Linked DNA regions of Notamacropus eugenii. The protein of the gene in region 1 interacts with the protein of each later gene in a pairwise test. Links are inferred from orthologs where the notes say so. Each region holds a gene or a part of one and is shown on either strand. Other genes may lie near its edges.

Region 1 (7,671 bases):
ATGCTATCCACATCCAGAGAAAGAACTGAGCCTGAATGCAGATTGAAGCATACCATTTCCTCTTTTTTTTCTCTTTTTCATGGTTTTCACTTTTTTTGATTCTTCTTTTAAAACATGGGTACTGTGGAAATATGTTTAATATGATTATACATGTATAGCCTATATCAGATTGCATGCTGTCTTGGGAGGGTGTCAGGCCTAGAGGCCTAAGGGCTACCTGAGTCTTTCCTTACCTGTCGCAGGTCTTTGGCTAGCCAAACCAGATAAACGTATGAGAGAAGAGACTTTCCAGAGTCGAACAAGGGTTAGGCTTTATTCAGGGTCTTGGTTACATGTGCAGGGGGAATTCTTCCTCAGGAGAGAGGAGTCCTCCTCCCAAGGAGGCAAAGATCTTACAGTAAGAGATTGGGAGCGGGAGAGGGGAGGGACCCTCTGCCCTCTAAGGGCCCCTCAGTGCTAAGAGCGCCTTCAGGCTTTCCTGACTCTACTTAAGCTCTCCTGCTGCATAGTTTGCACCTGAATACCGTGCCTGTTCTCAGCCCTTAGCTAGACAACAATAGGTGTGCTCAGACCATGGATTAATCTCGAGGGCAGGATGCTGTCCCCAGCAAGTTTCCCATGGGGAAGAGGCGGAAATGCACGAGATAGCCTGGGTCTCACACCTCAATTCCCAGCTGTTCCCTGGGGGGCCTCATGAGAACTCTAAGGTTTAGAAGTCCTCACTTTTACCTGCCCGAGACTGTCCACATGGAACTGAGCTTGCACCTCCAACAGGAGGGGAATTTAAAACTCAAAATTTTATAAAATTGAATGTTGAAAACTCAAACTAAATAAATGAATAAATTGAAAAAAAGAACTTTGGAATTGATTGTGTGATGTGGGAGACAGTGACATAAGAGAAGGTGCTGTGCTATATGTGCTCTATGAGCATGGTATGGTTGTTGTCCTTCATTCTCAAAGAGGACCAAAATGACATCACTATGCTAGAGTCAAGTTTTAATGTGTGCATCTGTGGGTGATCAGACCAATGCAAGTTTGGAATGTTGTACCACAAGTCAAGCACAACTAGTCCGCATGTGCATTTCGGGTGGGTACTACAAATTTGCACCTCCTGCATTTCCTTTGAGCTGTCTCAATTCTGCTTTGCACATTCTTGAATGTGGACATGCAGTGCTGAGCTTGTCATCCCACGTTACACAATCAATTCCAAAGTTCTTAAGGGAGACCTTGAGAGTGTTCCTGTATTGCTTCTGACCACATGTGAACACTTGCCCCATGTGAGTTCTCCATAAAATAGTCTTTTTGGCAAGCTTATATTTTGCATTTGAACAACACAGTCAGCCCATCAGAGTTGTGCTCTCTGAAGCAGAGTTTGAATGCTTGGCAGTTTAGTTTGGGTAAGGACCTCAGTGTCTGGTACCGTCATCCTGCCAGGTGATCTATGAAACCTTCCTAAGACAATTCATATGGAAGTGATTCAGTTTCCTGGCATGGCACCAATATATTGTCCAGGTTTCACAGGCATACAACAATGAAGTCAGCACAACAACTCTATAAACCTTCAGTTTGATAGTCTAATACCTCTTCTCTCTCATATTTTCCTTTGGATCTTCCCAAACACTGAGCTAGCTCTGGCAATGCATGCATCAACCTCATTTGTACCCTACCTGGTGGTAGAACATTCTGAGCTCATATTGATCTGATCAGCTACATTCAGATGCACTATAATGACTCATTTTTGATCCTGTTCCAGAACAAAGGACAACCACCAAGCTATCCTCCATTCCGGTTGAGTGTTTGCACAGATAAGTATCTTAGAATTTAAAAAATTTCTCATTAGCCATATCTGTTTTTATAGTTCCTTCTTTCACAGAACTGATAAGATTTTATGACTTTGTCAAGGTTGAAAACTCAAAGGACCTGACAAGTCCCCAAATAATTTCAAAGATAATGCGAATTTTTCAAGGCCTTTTGTACTTTTCTCAAGCACTAAATGAACATCATTGTTGATTTTCAAGAAAAATATAGCCAATTAAATATTCAAGACAGTTTTTTCAGTATAAGAACAAAGGACAAAAATTCCCAATAAGTGATTATCCAAATTCATCACTTTATTGCATTCACATAAAAGTGAGAGTAATACAAATTCATCACATTCTAGTTATCATTTCTCCAATAAATAGTATTTCTTATATTCTGGCAAGATCATGATGTAAAAATTTTAAGAGCATAACAAAAAATATAAAACAATATTATGGATTTAAAACATGAAGCAAAACTTATTGCCAGTCAAAGGACATCATTCAGGGAAATGCACTTCTAATTTGTCTTACATGGAAAAATAATTTCATTTATCCATCAATTTTGGTATTCTATTCTAGTAACTTAGAAACCAGTGAAGAGGACTTAAGATCAGCTTGCTCTTAGTGCTTATTGCTTAAGGCAAGTTTAGAAACTGCAGACTGCAAAACTGTTGACATTTTGTTCCTCCCCTTTTGGAATTACTGGAAATAAAACTTTTAAAATGGCTTCCATTCCGTTTAAGGCTTTCTGAGAATTCTCTAGTCAGAGAAATTATCTTCCTTTTCTACCCTAAAACAATAAATCTGTAACTCTTCAGGGAAGGGACAGAAAGATAAAGGAGTCTGAAAGCTACTTTCATGAAAATTTCACAAACTTTCTATTTTAAAAAAAATCCTAGAGAGCTGCAACCTCAAAAACCATTAGGATATTTTAGCACTTATAAAAACTACATTTTCATCATAATTTGGACTTGCAGATTACATTTTATTCTCAAATATAGTTTCTGGTTAGGTTAAAATGTCATAGATTTCTGCAAATAAAAAAGAATATCTGTTTCTCTCTCTATCTCTGTTTCTCTTTGTCTGTATCTTCTCCCTCTCTCTCTCTGTTTTCAACCTAGGAACACAGAAATGAGACTATGTATTTTTTTGGAAAACAGACATTTTCAGCATAACTCTCATTCACTTCCTTATCTTCTAGTGAATTTTTTTGGGGGGAATATACTGGTTGTTTGGAGTGGACTGGAAATTTCTTTTTCCAGTACCTGAGTTCGTGGCAGTAATTAGACAAGGGTGAGGTCAAATTTTTGTTCTCTTTAAATTCTGCAAAATAACATTCTTGGTCAGCTATCAGTTGCATCTGGTAAGTTGTCCTGCCTCTGGGATTCCACTCTTATTTCTTGTTCTCTCTTCTCATCTTACTCATTGAAGAATAAAAGTTATCAGTGAGAGAATTTCATAGAGAATTTTTTTGGTTTTATTTTGGCAAGGTTGTAAAGTGTGATGTTATTGTCCCTTAAAGGAATAAGATACTGCCTATGGGCTTCCTGTATGTCCAAAAAGAGATCCTCTTGGTGCATTTCAGAAGCTGCTAAACTAATAAACTGATAGTTCATTTGTTTCAGAAACTGAACTTCTATTTTAACTTGTAGAATTTGTAAAACTTATTAGGTAACCAAGGCCATTCATTTAAGTTTACGATGGCCATTTAGATTGACAGAGCTTAACCAGATCAGATTCTCCCTAGATTTTTTTCAAATCAGTCAAAATCTGTTCTGCACCAGAAATACTGGGTCCCATCGTGAAGACTGACTGTTCAAGGTGGAATTGAGGTTCAGACTTTGATATGGTTGCACCTCACTTTCCTCATCTGTAAAGTGGAACTAAATAATTGATATTCCCAACCCCATTGGGAGTTATGCAAATGTTAATATGATTTAGAATTAAACTATTATTATTACTATCAAAATGTACACTTCTGAGAGACAGAGAGACAGAGAGAGAGAGAGGAGAGAGAGAAGGGAGAGAGGAGAGAGAGAGAGAGAGAGAGAGAGAGAGAGAGAGAGAGAGAGAGAGAGAGAGAGAGAGAGGAGAGAGAGAGAGAGAGAGAGAGAGAGAGAGAGAGAGAGAGAGAGAGAGAGAGAGAGAGAGAGAGAGAGAGAGAGAGAGAGAGAGAGAGAGAGGAGAGAGACAGAGAGAGAGAGAGACAGAGAGAGAGAGAGACAGAGGAGAGGGAGAGAGAGACTTATGAATTGTTAAGACCCTGAAAGACAGGTTTTGACTGGAAAAGAGGCAAAGGTCTGGGGGTCCCAGCAAAGAGGGAGACAGTGAGAAAGGAAGGATTCCCAGCCGAGAGGGTCCCTGTGACTCTGAGGGAGCCTGCCAGGGTTCCAAGCAGAGAGAGCCCAGCGCCCCCTCCCCCAACACTGTCTCAGGCTCGGTGGGCGGGACCCTAAGGTGGGAGAACAAAGAGATGCAGCCAGTCCGCCTCGAGATTCCTAGAGAGGACCAGAGCAGCAGACACGACCTAGATGGCATGCGCACTTCTGGGCGCCCGGCGAATCCTGGAAAGCCTGGTCGGTCCTGAGCGCCCACGCGTTTTCTGGGGCGCGTACCCTCGCAGGCTTCGTGGTGAGTGCCGCCGAGGGGGATGGGGGCGCGGGATCGGCCCGGAGGGGTGTGCGGGTGAAACGCCTCTTCCTCCCCCGCTTCTTCACTCTCCTCTTCCCCTCCCCCCTCCCCCCTCCCCTCCCCCTCCCTCTCTCCCCCTCCTCTTTCCCTCCCCTCCCCCTCTCCCCCTCCTCTTCCCCTCCCCTCCCCCTTTCCTCCTCCTCTTCCCCTCCCCCCTCCCCCTTCCCCTCTCCCCTCCCCCTCCCTCTCTCCCCCTCCTCTTCCCCTCCCCTCCCCCTCTCCCCCTCCTCTTTCCCTCCCCTCCCCCTTTCCTCCTCCTCTTCTCCTCCCCCCCTCCCCTCCCCCTCTCCTTCCCCCCTTCCCCTCCCCTCTCCCCCTCCCTCTCCCCGCCTTCCCTCCGCCCCCCTCCTCCCGCCTCCCTGACTGCTGGAAGCACTTAGAGAAGGAGGAGAAAGGCCTCGGTACGCCGGGTCTGGGGATGGCGTCGGTGTCTGGGGCTCATTAGAGGCTCCGGCCGCGCCTCCCTCCCGCCGCGGAGGACGCCGGGCCCTGCTCGGGGCCTGCTCCCCGCATTTGCGCCGCGGTCCTTGCGGCAGCTCGGGGGATTTGTGGGTAAACCAAGGCCCCCGGCCGTCCCCCGGGGAGGAGCTGCCCTGGGATCCGCTCTCCCGAGCTCTGGCGGTAAGAAGGCGGTTCCCCGGTTTCTGCGTTTTCCGAGCCCCAGAGCCATTTTGACTTGAGAATGACCGGCTAGTGTTTATGATAACCACCGCCGCCTTCCGTAGGAGGAGGGGCAGGCCCCCCGGCCTCGCCGCGGCCCCGGCCCCCCGGCCCCCCGGCCCCGCCGCGGCCCCGGCCCCCCGGCCCCGCCGCTCTGCTCCGCTCCTAGAAACGGGAGGAGGAGGTGGGTGGTTCTGTTGTGCGTCCCGGCCCCAGAGGCGGGAGGAGCTGGATCCGAATCGGGCCTCAGGTGCTAGCGTGCGTTAAGAACGCTTGGAGAAGGGTTCCCCTGGAAGGCGGAATTTATTGACTTTGAAGAGTCAGGAGAACGGAGGAGGGAGAGAGTTGGCGGCGCGCCTCGGAGGCCAGGGGCCGGTGGCGAAGACTGCCTAGGTAGGAGGAGGCCGGGTCACGGAAGGCTTTCTTTGCCGAACGGATCGTTTGCTCCTGCAAACAATAGGAAGCCGCCGGAGGGGGTCCGCCGCGGGAAAGAGGGGGAGCCGGATGGAGGGTGGATGGAGGGGAGGCAGGCTGGAGGTCACCCGCCCATCCGCAGGCTGTTGCGATGGTCCAGGTGAGGGGCAGGGATGAGGGCCTGCACTGGTGAGTAGTTCAGAGAGGAAGGGACGTATTTGAGAGGTTGCAGGCCTCGGAGTGGCAGGCCTTGGCAACAGCTTGGCTATGGGGGGTGAGAGATAGGGAGGAATCCAGGAGGCCTGGGAGGATGGTGTTGCCCTCTCCTGTAACAGGGAAGGTGGGAGGTGGGAGGTGGGAGGGTTTGGGGGAAAGATCCTGAGTTCGGTTTTGACAAGATTGAATTTAAGATGTCTACTGGCATCTGAAAGGCAGCTGGAGATGCCACTTTGGAGGGCAGCGGAGAAGTTGGGGTAAGTTCTGATTTAAGAATCAGAAGCATAGAGATAATAATGAAAACCACGCGAGGCGACGGATCACCAAGTGAAGCAGAATAGAGGGAGAAGAGGAGGGGGCCCAGGACGGAAACGCTAACCTACAGTTAGATGGTATAATCTGGAAAGGATCCAGTAAAGGAGACAGAGGAACAGACAGGTAAGACAAAAAGCAAGAAAGAGTGGGTATTTTAAAAAACCTGAGGGAAGAAGATACCAAGGAGAGAGTATTCAACAGTGTCAAAGGTTGCAGAGATTTAGAAAAATGAGGATTGAGAAAAGGCCATTGAATTTGGCAACTGAGAGATCATAAGTAACTTTGGAGAAAGCACTTTCAGGTGGAATGATAAGGTCAGAATCCAGATTTTAAGGGGTTAAGAGGCCTATTGTAGAGAGCCTTTGGAAGGAGTTTTAACCACAAAGGACAGAAGAGATAAGGGACAATACTTGGTGAGAATGGGGGGATTGAGAGATTTTTCAAGAAAAGGTTGATGTGGACAAGTTTATAAAGCAGTTGGAAATGAGGCAGTAGGCAAGGAGAGATTGAAATTAAGTGAAAGAGTGGAGGTGACAGACAGGGCAGACTTGGAAAAGGTGGTTTTGCTTAGAGGATAAGGAGTAAGGCCCCTTTATCATGTGAAATGGGGTGATGGAGAAGAAAGTGGCAGAAGATATCTGAGTCATTGGAGGTCCAGAACAGTGTAGAAGTAGTTAATGCCCAGTGGCCTCAATTTTTTTTTTTGTGTAAAATATGAGTGAAAGTTCTCAGCTGAGAGAATTGGGAAGTCATGGGAGGTTTCAGAAGGGATGAAAAGATTTGGAAGAGCAACTATGAAAACAAAGTTAGTGACTTGGTGAGGGGGGGAGGTATAGTAAGATTGCCTACCAGCTACCAGAATAATTTTCTCAAAGCAAGATTTGGTTGTGTAATTCTCCCACTTATTCATTGTTTCTGGAATAAAATACAGACTCTTCAGTCTGGTATGTAAGGAAGTGCACATTGTAGGTCTTCTTTGTCTTTCCAGCCATATTTTCTAATCACTCCCCTTTTTGAATTCAATATTGCAGCCAGACTGGATGACTAGCTATTTTGAAAAGTTAGCAGCGTACTTCTGTTGCTATGTGCTTGCACGAGTAGTGTCAGTGCCCAGAGTAAGAAAGAATTCTTCCTCATCTCCATCAAGTAGAATAGTTTTCTTTTCATTGAGATTTAAATTTTTTGTTTCCCCATTTGGTAGTACTTTTTTTTCCTCCTCAAATTTTACTTGTGTATATGATATATTCTCTCTTAGCTCCACACCCCTCCGTAGAATATGAGCTTCTTGAGTCCAGTATTGTTTTAGTTTTGTATCCTTAGTGTTTCCTACAGTGTTTAAGCACATTTGAGATAGGTGGGGAAGAAACTTGTTTCTTCAGTGTGGGGAATTCCAGGTGTGGAAACTCTTTTCTAATCTAATTTACATTGTCAGGGGCATAGAAATTTTAAGCAGTTTACCTTTGGCCACCCAGTTACTATGCATCAGTTAGAACTTGAATCCAAGTTTCCTACTTCCACTGCATGCCTTATATCTCCTCTTTAAAATGAATTTTTATAAATGTCTTTTTTTTGC
Region 2 (7,478 bases), on another chromosome or scaffold:
GGAGACAACATGTACACAATATAAGTACATATAAATAAATATAAGGTAATTTCAGGAAATACTAGTGGCTGGAGGCAGGGAGGGCAGGTTAAGGAAAAGGCTTCACTGTGCAATGTGGTGTTTGAGCTGAGCTTTGAAGGAAACCAGGGATCTTAAAAAGTAAAAGTGAAGGAGTGCATCGGGGACCTACAGCCAGTGCAAAAGTCCAGAGATGAGAGATGGTATGTCAAGTATGGGGAACAGCCAGAAGGCCAATTTGTTTGGACCCTGGAATTCAAGAAGACAAGTAATAAAAGAAAATATAAGTTAAAAAAAGTAAGTAAAAAAAGACAAATAAAAGAAAAAGCCAGATTAGAGTCAAACAGGAATATTCGTGTGAACTAATGCAGAACAAAGTAGGCAAGAGATCAAAATATACAACAGTAATTTTTGATCTACATCTGTGATTTCCTTGGCACAGTGACCATCTTGTCTTTCTCCACTATTATAGTAACTCTTCTGTAACATACAGTCTTAGAGAACTATCTCGAGCATTGAAGTTAAGTGACAGGTTAAGTCACTACTTAATGACAGAGCAAGGAGGTGCTTGTAAATGTTTCTGAAAATTCATGAGACACTTTTGATTTTAATCTGCATTATTAACATTTTCTCCATCACTTCCATAAGTCTAGATATTCAACAAAATAAAGCAAGCCTTAATTTGTAGCATTATCTGAGTTCAAGCTGGTTACAGTACACCCCTGCTCCTTAGATCCACTAAGCTAGACAGAAACTCCAATATGCCTATAGATCTCCTATCAGCATTGTGAATATTCCCTTCAGCAATGGAGACTGTAACCAACCAAGTTTGTGTCCATATGCTCTTGTAAACACCCAATGTGCCAAGGGTCTTCCTCATGTACTCTTGACATTGAACAGAGATATATATTCATAAATCATATATACATATATGTATATAAATATAATCTGCAAGTGCTTTTTTCCCTTTTGGTGAAAATAAAGGGAACAGGGGTGGGAAGAGAGGAGTTGAGGAAGTGGGGAACCACAGATAGTACTACTAAGAATCTCCCCTAGGGCAGTGAGGGCTCACCAGAAGAGAAAGAAGGGATGACTGTTTATGCGAGAGTCTTTCATGTTTTGCAATTTCTGCTGAGTGAAAAGAAACCTATCTATTTCTTAATATGGGGTGTGTGAACTTTTATTTTTATTATTTTATTTCAATATAATTGATTTTCTTTATACTCCTAGGTGTTTTATTTTATACATTTGTATACATTTTTCTGAGAAAAGGTCCATAGGTTTCACCAGATTGATTTGGACATCAGAAGGCTCCTCCTTGATCCTCCATTTAAGGAGACGGCCCATGGCAGTCACTTGGGCTGCTCCCAAAGATTTTATCATGATCTCCATGCAAGATCACAGCAATTCTGAAACTCTCACCTTCTCGGTACCACCAGCCCCTAGCCCACCCTCTTTCAGATTGGAAGGGGCAGAGGGTGGACACCTTAGATATGGGAAACGAAGGAAAAAGTTCTGTTTCCACAGGATCAAAACTCTCAATGATGGTCGTTAATTGGAGTTGTGACCTAGCATGGTCAGAATGAAGGTCAGGGCCTTGTGGGTAGGCTTGGCAAACTATTTAGGGGAAAGTCTATCAGAGAGGAGAACATGAAGTCATTGTAAGCAGTCACCTAAAAATCCAACTGCACTTGTTAATGATGCACAGTGGGCGTGTCAAAAAATTGTGACCAGAAAGAATATGGACCAATCCATTCTCTGATGGGAGGATCTGTCCTATACTAACTTTATAAAAATGCCCTTACTTCCATATCTCTCCCTCTCTCCCTTTTTGAGGAAGGGTAGAGTTTACCTTGGCCAATGAGTTCAATTCTCTGAACTCTACTTAAAGAAATTTTCCTTGATACTCTGTGTGTCACATGTGTTTCTAACAATTAGAGCTCTTCCCTGATCCTCCATTTAAGGAGGGCACTGTGGGCAACCAGCTCATCATTTCCTACTCATTTCCTATACAAGACTTCATCATATTGACTTCAACATGGCACTAGAACCCTTCCTTTCCTTTTCCCTCAATCCCTGGTTCTTTTCAGCTTCTTTTTATAAATGTTCCCTCATTAGATTGTGAGCTCTTTGAGAGCAAGGAATGTCTTTTACCTTTCTTTGTATTTCCAGTACTTAGCACAGTGCCTCTAGATGCTTAATAAATGTTCATTGACTGAAGTATCAAGAAAGGTTAACAACCCCTGTTCAATTGGGTGTGGAAGATCTTATAACTTTTTTTTGTAAAGACCAAGACATGTGTTATATATACTGATAATACCTAGAGAAATCATGGGTGGAACATGAGCCAGTAATTAAAACCAGGCTGTGGAAACCCAGAACTGTGGTTGTGGACCACAGGTTATTTGGGGATATTTGGGAGTCACCTGCATAGAAGTGATCTTTGAAACTACAGAAACAGATGCAGATGAGATCACTCCAGGGATAATTAGGTAAGAGATGAAGATTGGACAAGGATTTAGGAGGTGTGAGGAACCAGAAGATCCCAGCTAGAAAAGTAGAGGAAACTAAAAAGGTACAGTTGGACAGATAGGAAGAAAACCAGGAGAGAGCAATGAAAAGCCAAAGAAGAAAGGAATATAAGAGCGGACAAATGTCAAAAGCTGCAAAAAAACAAAGTCAAGAAATTTGAAGACTGATTTGAAAAAATTTGCTCTTTGTGAACATCAATTTAGCAACTAAGAAGCCATTAGTGACCTTTGAAAAAACAGCTTCCACAGAGTTATGAGAAAAGAAAATAGAATGCAAGGGAGTAAAGAATGACTAAGTGGTGGTGACTAACAATTTCCCAAAGTTTAACCTTCTAACCCAGTTAATTCACTCAATTTTCAGACCGCTCAGGGCAATGAGAGCTGCCTGCATTGGTGGTGCATGAATCCATTTTTGTCTTAGCATTTTCTAGCAATACCAAGTTCCTAGACCCCTATTCACTAGGGCTCACCCAGAACAGGAATCTTACCATCTGTTCTTCCACATAATCGTATCATGCCTCCCCTCTCCCCACACACTTTTCACCTCTTGTCTACCAAACAATAATTAGCTCAGTACTACATTTTCTATTGGAAAGAACAGGAACAATAGACTGCCCTGTGTTTGCAATCAACAGTTCCTGTGACTGCCTTATCCAAAACTTCCTTCCCAGACCACCATTCCCTAATATTGTATCATACCCCCTTGAAGGCAGGGACTGTCTTTTAGATTTGTATTCTCAAGTGCCTAGATGCCTGTCACAAAGAACAAATAAATGCTTGTTGATTGTTATAGAATGAAGAGGATATTTTTGTCAAGGAAATATTTTTTTAAGGAGAAGCAGGGGTTGAAGATGTTTGCAAAGGAGCCAAAAAGAGAAAGACTGAAAATGAAAAATTGGGAGATGTAATGGTTGAATGGCAAGAGCAAAGTGAATAAATGGGAAGATCCCCATATTGGGAGACTGAGGACCTTTTTTGACTCTGTTACTATTTTGGTGGCCTTAGACAAGTCATTTTCCCTCTTTACGTGTATTTTATTTATAAAATAAATATGCTGGTCCCTCTCAGCTCTAGAGCCTATAGAATTCTAAATGTTTGTTCAGATCATTAAAACTCCTCATTTCAACACGGATACACACAATAGGCTCTTCAAAAAAAAACCTTTTGTGCTATTTTTTAAAATCACCATAATTTCCCCCTTCCCTCCCAGAGAGCCATCCCATATAGCAAATATTTTTAAAGACAAAAAAAAAATTCAATATAACTGATCAAAACATTGAAAAAAATTGAAACTATGTATACTTTGTAAGGGTGGACCTCCTACCTCTTCTCATAGCTCTTCTGTGGAGTTATGCTCGTTTTTGGCCATTTCGTCACATTCACTTGTGATCATATGTTTGTAATTCTGTTTCCTTAGCTTTGCTTACTTCACTTTGCATCCCTTTTGTGCATACCTTTCCCTATTTCTCTGTATTCATCCTATTTCTAATTTCTTAGAGGAGAGTAATGATATTCCATTATATTCATGCACCTCAATTCACTTTGCCATTCCCCAATCAATAACCATCTACTTTGTTTCCAGTTCCTTGCTGTCACAAATAGGCTATCACAAAGGCTGCTATTATTCTTAGTATTTGGGTCATTTCTTCTTATAAACAGCCTTCTTGAAAGTATATCGATAGATAGATAGATAGATAGATAGATAGATAGATAGATAGATAGATAGATAGATAGATAGATAGATAGATGTGTGTGTGCACATATATACATATACACATATACTATATATATCTACCTATGTATATGTATGTATGTATGTATGTATGTATGTATGTGTATATCTATCTATCTATCTATCTATATCTCTCTATCGAGCAGTGGAATCTCAGGGCCAGATATTACAATCACAATTCCAAACTGCCTTCCTAAAAGGTTGCACCGATTCCCAGCTCCAACAGTGCACGCACGTGTCTGCCTTCCCACAACCCCTCCAACATTCGCCGTTCCCAGAGGTGCGCTGTTTGCGGAATTGAACTTCCCACGCCCGGTTCCGCGCCTAGAGCGTCCCTCCGCCACTAGGGGGCGATGTGCTATTGGGGGGGGTTGATTGAGCGTTAGACCATAGAGAAGCTGCTTCCGCTTCCGGAGTTTTACGCTTCCTTCACGATTCCGTTTAACGCTTCGCAGACCCGTTGTTTAAATAGCCTGTCTCTGTGGCTGCCGGATCCCGACGTGAGGAGGTAAAGCGCCCTCGGGCCACCGTCCCAACCGTCATCTTGACCTCATTCTTGCGACGAAAGCCTAGCTCGTCACAGAACTGCCCAGGCCTCCTTTTTGACTAGCGCTGACTCAGACACAGGCGCAAAGCGATTCCTCTTTTCTCTTTAGGTTGGCCGGAGTCCACGCTTTGGCGCAGGCGCAGAGAGACCCCAAGTCGCGAGACAAAGGGTGACGCCGGGAGCCGTCGAGATGGCGGCGGAGCAGGGGAGTACGGGCCGGTCGATCCCAGCGACCCCGGAGAAAGAAGGAGCTTCGCCCCTGAAACTGGAGGAGTCTGACGCTGGCCCGGAGGCCTCGCTCCCTGGCCCTGCGCCCCCTTCCGCTTCGCCCCCGTCCCCGGTCCAGCTCCCCGCCGCCCTCGAGGCCTCTCCCCCAGCCCACGGACCCCCGGGGGCCCGGCCGGGCCCGGAGACGTTCCGCCAGCGCTTCCGGCAGTTCCGCTACCACGAGGCGGCGGGGCCGCGCGAGGCGTTCCGCCAGCTCCGCGAACTGTCCCGCCAGTGGCTGCGGCCCGAGGTCCGAACCAAGGAGCAGATCGTGGAGATGCTGGTGCAGGAGCAGCTCATGGCCATCCTGCCCGAGGAGATCCGGGCCCGCCGGCGAGGCCGCCGCGGAGACGTGCGCATCACCGGCTGACCGAGAGAGCCCGAGGCCCCGCCGGCTGGCGAGCGAGGAGCGGCCTCCGCCCTCCGGCCGCGCAGAGAGGCGGCGGCGGCGATGCTGACGCCGGGGCCGCAGCGGGCCGCACCGTAGCGAGCTTGAAGCTTCTCCCCTCGTCCGGGGGCCGCCGAGCTCCCGTTGTCTTGTCTGTCCGCACCCGCCTCCGCGTTAATGAAGCCTGATTTTTGGCAGTCGTGGCCTGTTGTGACTCTTTCCTTCGCCTCTTGGTTTTCTGCCTGGCAGCCTCCATCGCCACTCTCCATGTGGCTACCTGGGGGGAGGGCGCCTAAGGTGGAGACTGCCCAGTGCTCTGTCCTACAGTGGTCCCAGTGTCTTGTGAAAGTAGCCATCTATTCCTTCTGCTGGAGCACCTCATGTAAAGAGACCTGATCGATGTCCTATGTCTGGTAGTTATTTTTTTCGTGAAAGGTCGGAGGACCTGCAAGGGACCATACAGATTCTATCTAGCTCCCTTATTTCATAGTAGAGGCTTGTTGTTAAATTGTTGTGGAGGAATGAAAAGATCATTGGCAGTTCCTTTCATGTTATTTTGGGGTAGTGCCTTTTACATGCGTTCTATCTTTTTAAGTAACCAGGCTCAGGGAGATCAAGAGTTGGCCTAGGGTACACAATTGATACTAGAATCGGGGGCTTTTTGTGCACTGTTTGAGGATGCCTTTGTACCCTCTGTATGGTAATATCCAAATCCGTTAAGTGTTTAGCAAGAGATTATTGCAGAAATGAGGTTGACCTACAGTTGAGGTTTAATAGCACCGGGTTTGGTACCACCCACTGAGCCCAATGTAATGCATTTTTTCCTTTTCATTACAACTCCATATTAAGTGTCAAACCACCTGTTTTTAGTTTAGTCTTTCACTCTGCCATCTACAATATGGAGAAAGATGCATCTCTTTCTTGCCCTTGGCCAGTGTCCCCTGGAGTGGAATTCTTAGGAATCTGTGGTCCAGTGCTGATGGACCCCCACCCCGGGACTGGAAGATTTAGTGAACTGTTTGTGACATTCGGTGACTTAAGATCAGCAGTGGGCCCTCTTGGGACTGTTGTGCCTAGCTGGTGCCTTTCTTTCTAGTTATTCAGGAGTGTGTCTGAAACATTCACATGGAATTAATTTACAGCTAATAGCAACTTTTTGTGTTTTAGTTTTAGGAAACATGCTAAAACATTTGACTTATGTCAGAGCTGAAATTATCTGGAGCTGGAGAATGTAAGCATAGCCAGTTTGGTGCTTCGGCAAGACATTGTATTTCCTCACTTCACTGCAAGCATCAGGTGCTCCTGGCATTTTTACCCTCTTAAAAAAGCATTAAATTATTCATCAGAAAAGGATTCTTGTGTTCCTTTGTGAGTCAAACTGATTTCCTGCACTCATAAGTTGTAAGGTAAAACTTTGTCTTCACTGCGACCCATCTTCTACTCAAGGTATCACGTTTTTGGAGGATCCATGATTTCATTGGTATGATTTTTATGTGATCATTAGGATTCCATATGCAAAACCTTGTTTTATAGAAAATGTCAGTGGTTACACAGTGTTTTATTAAGGGACTTAAGTGGTAGGAGAGTAAACAAAATAAGCACTAATGCATAAAACAACAAAAACCTATTTATTTTTTCCAAACACAGATAAAGAGGTTTGCATGTTTTGTAAATATTGCTCCAAAGCAAAACTTCTATATACAGTGCCCTCCATTCTAATAGTGCGTAAACAAACAGTTACATCTCCACAGTGCAATGTTGGCTCATCTCATCAAGGTTCTACCTTGCATTCACCCACCAATTTAAAGAAACAAAATTTAGTCAAACCAGAACTGATTCTGCCAAGACAATTTTAGTAGGATAGCTTTCATCCAAATAGACAAAATTCAAATTTAGGTAACATACAATAACTAAACATTTCTTAAAGGTAACAGCAGTAATTGTTTCCAGTGCTCCAACTTTAGATTAACTAAGCTTGGTCCAGCATTCAGAGAT

Evidence for each region.
Region 2: the proteins of PGBD1 (region 1) and SCAND1 interact in binary tests that used the Homo sapiens proteins (3 or more experiments, as listed by UniProt). The two-hybrid records come from large-scale screens. The link is inferred for Notamacropus eugenii from reciprocal best matches to the Homo sapiens genes PGBD1 and SCAND1.

The regions. Positions count from the first base shown.
Region 1 is NC_092873.1:73,250,937-73,258,607, forward strand, and holds the start of PGBD1 (piggyBac transposable element-derived protein 1), read left to right. Parts: upstream 1-4,306; 5' UTR 4,307-4,433; intron 4,434-7,671.
Region 2 is NC_092872.1:419,853,576-419,861,053, reverse strand, and holds SCAND1 (SCAN domain-containing protein 1), read left to right. Parts: upstream 1-4,670; 5' UTR 4,671-4,789; intron 4,790-4,937; 5' UTR 4,938-5,018; coding exon 5,019-5,465; 3' UTR 5,466-6,833; downstream 6,834-7,478. UniProt on the Homo sapiens protein: May regulate transcriptional activity.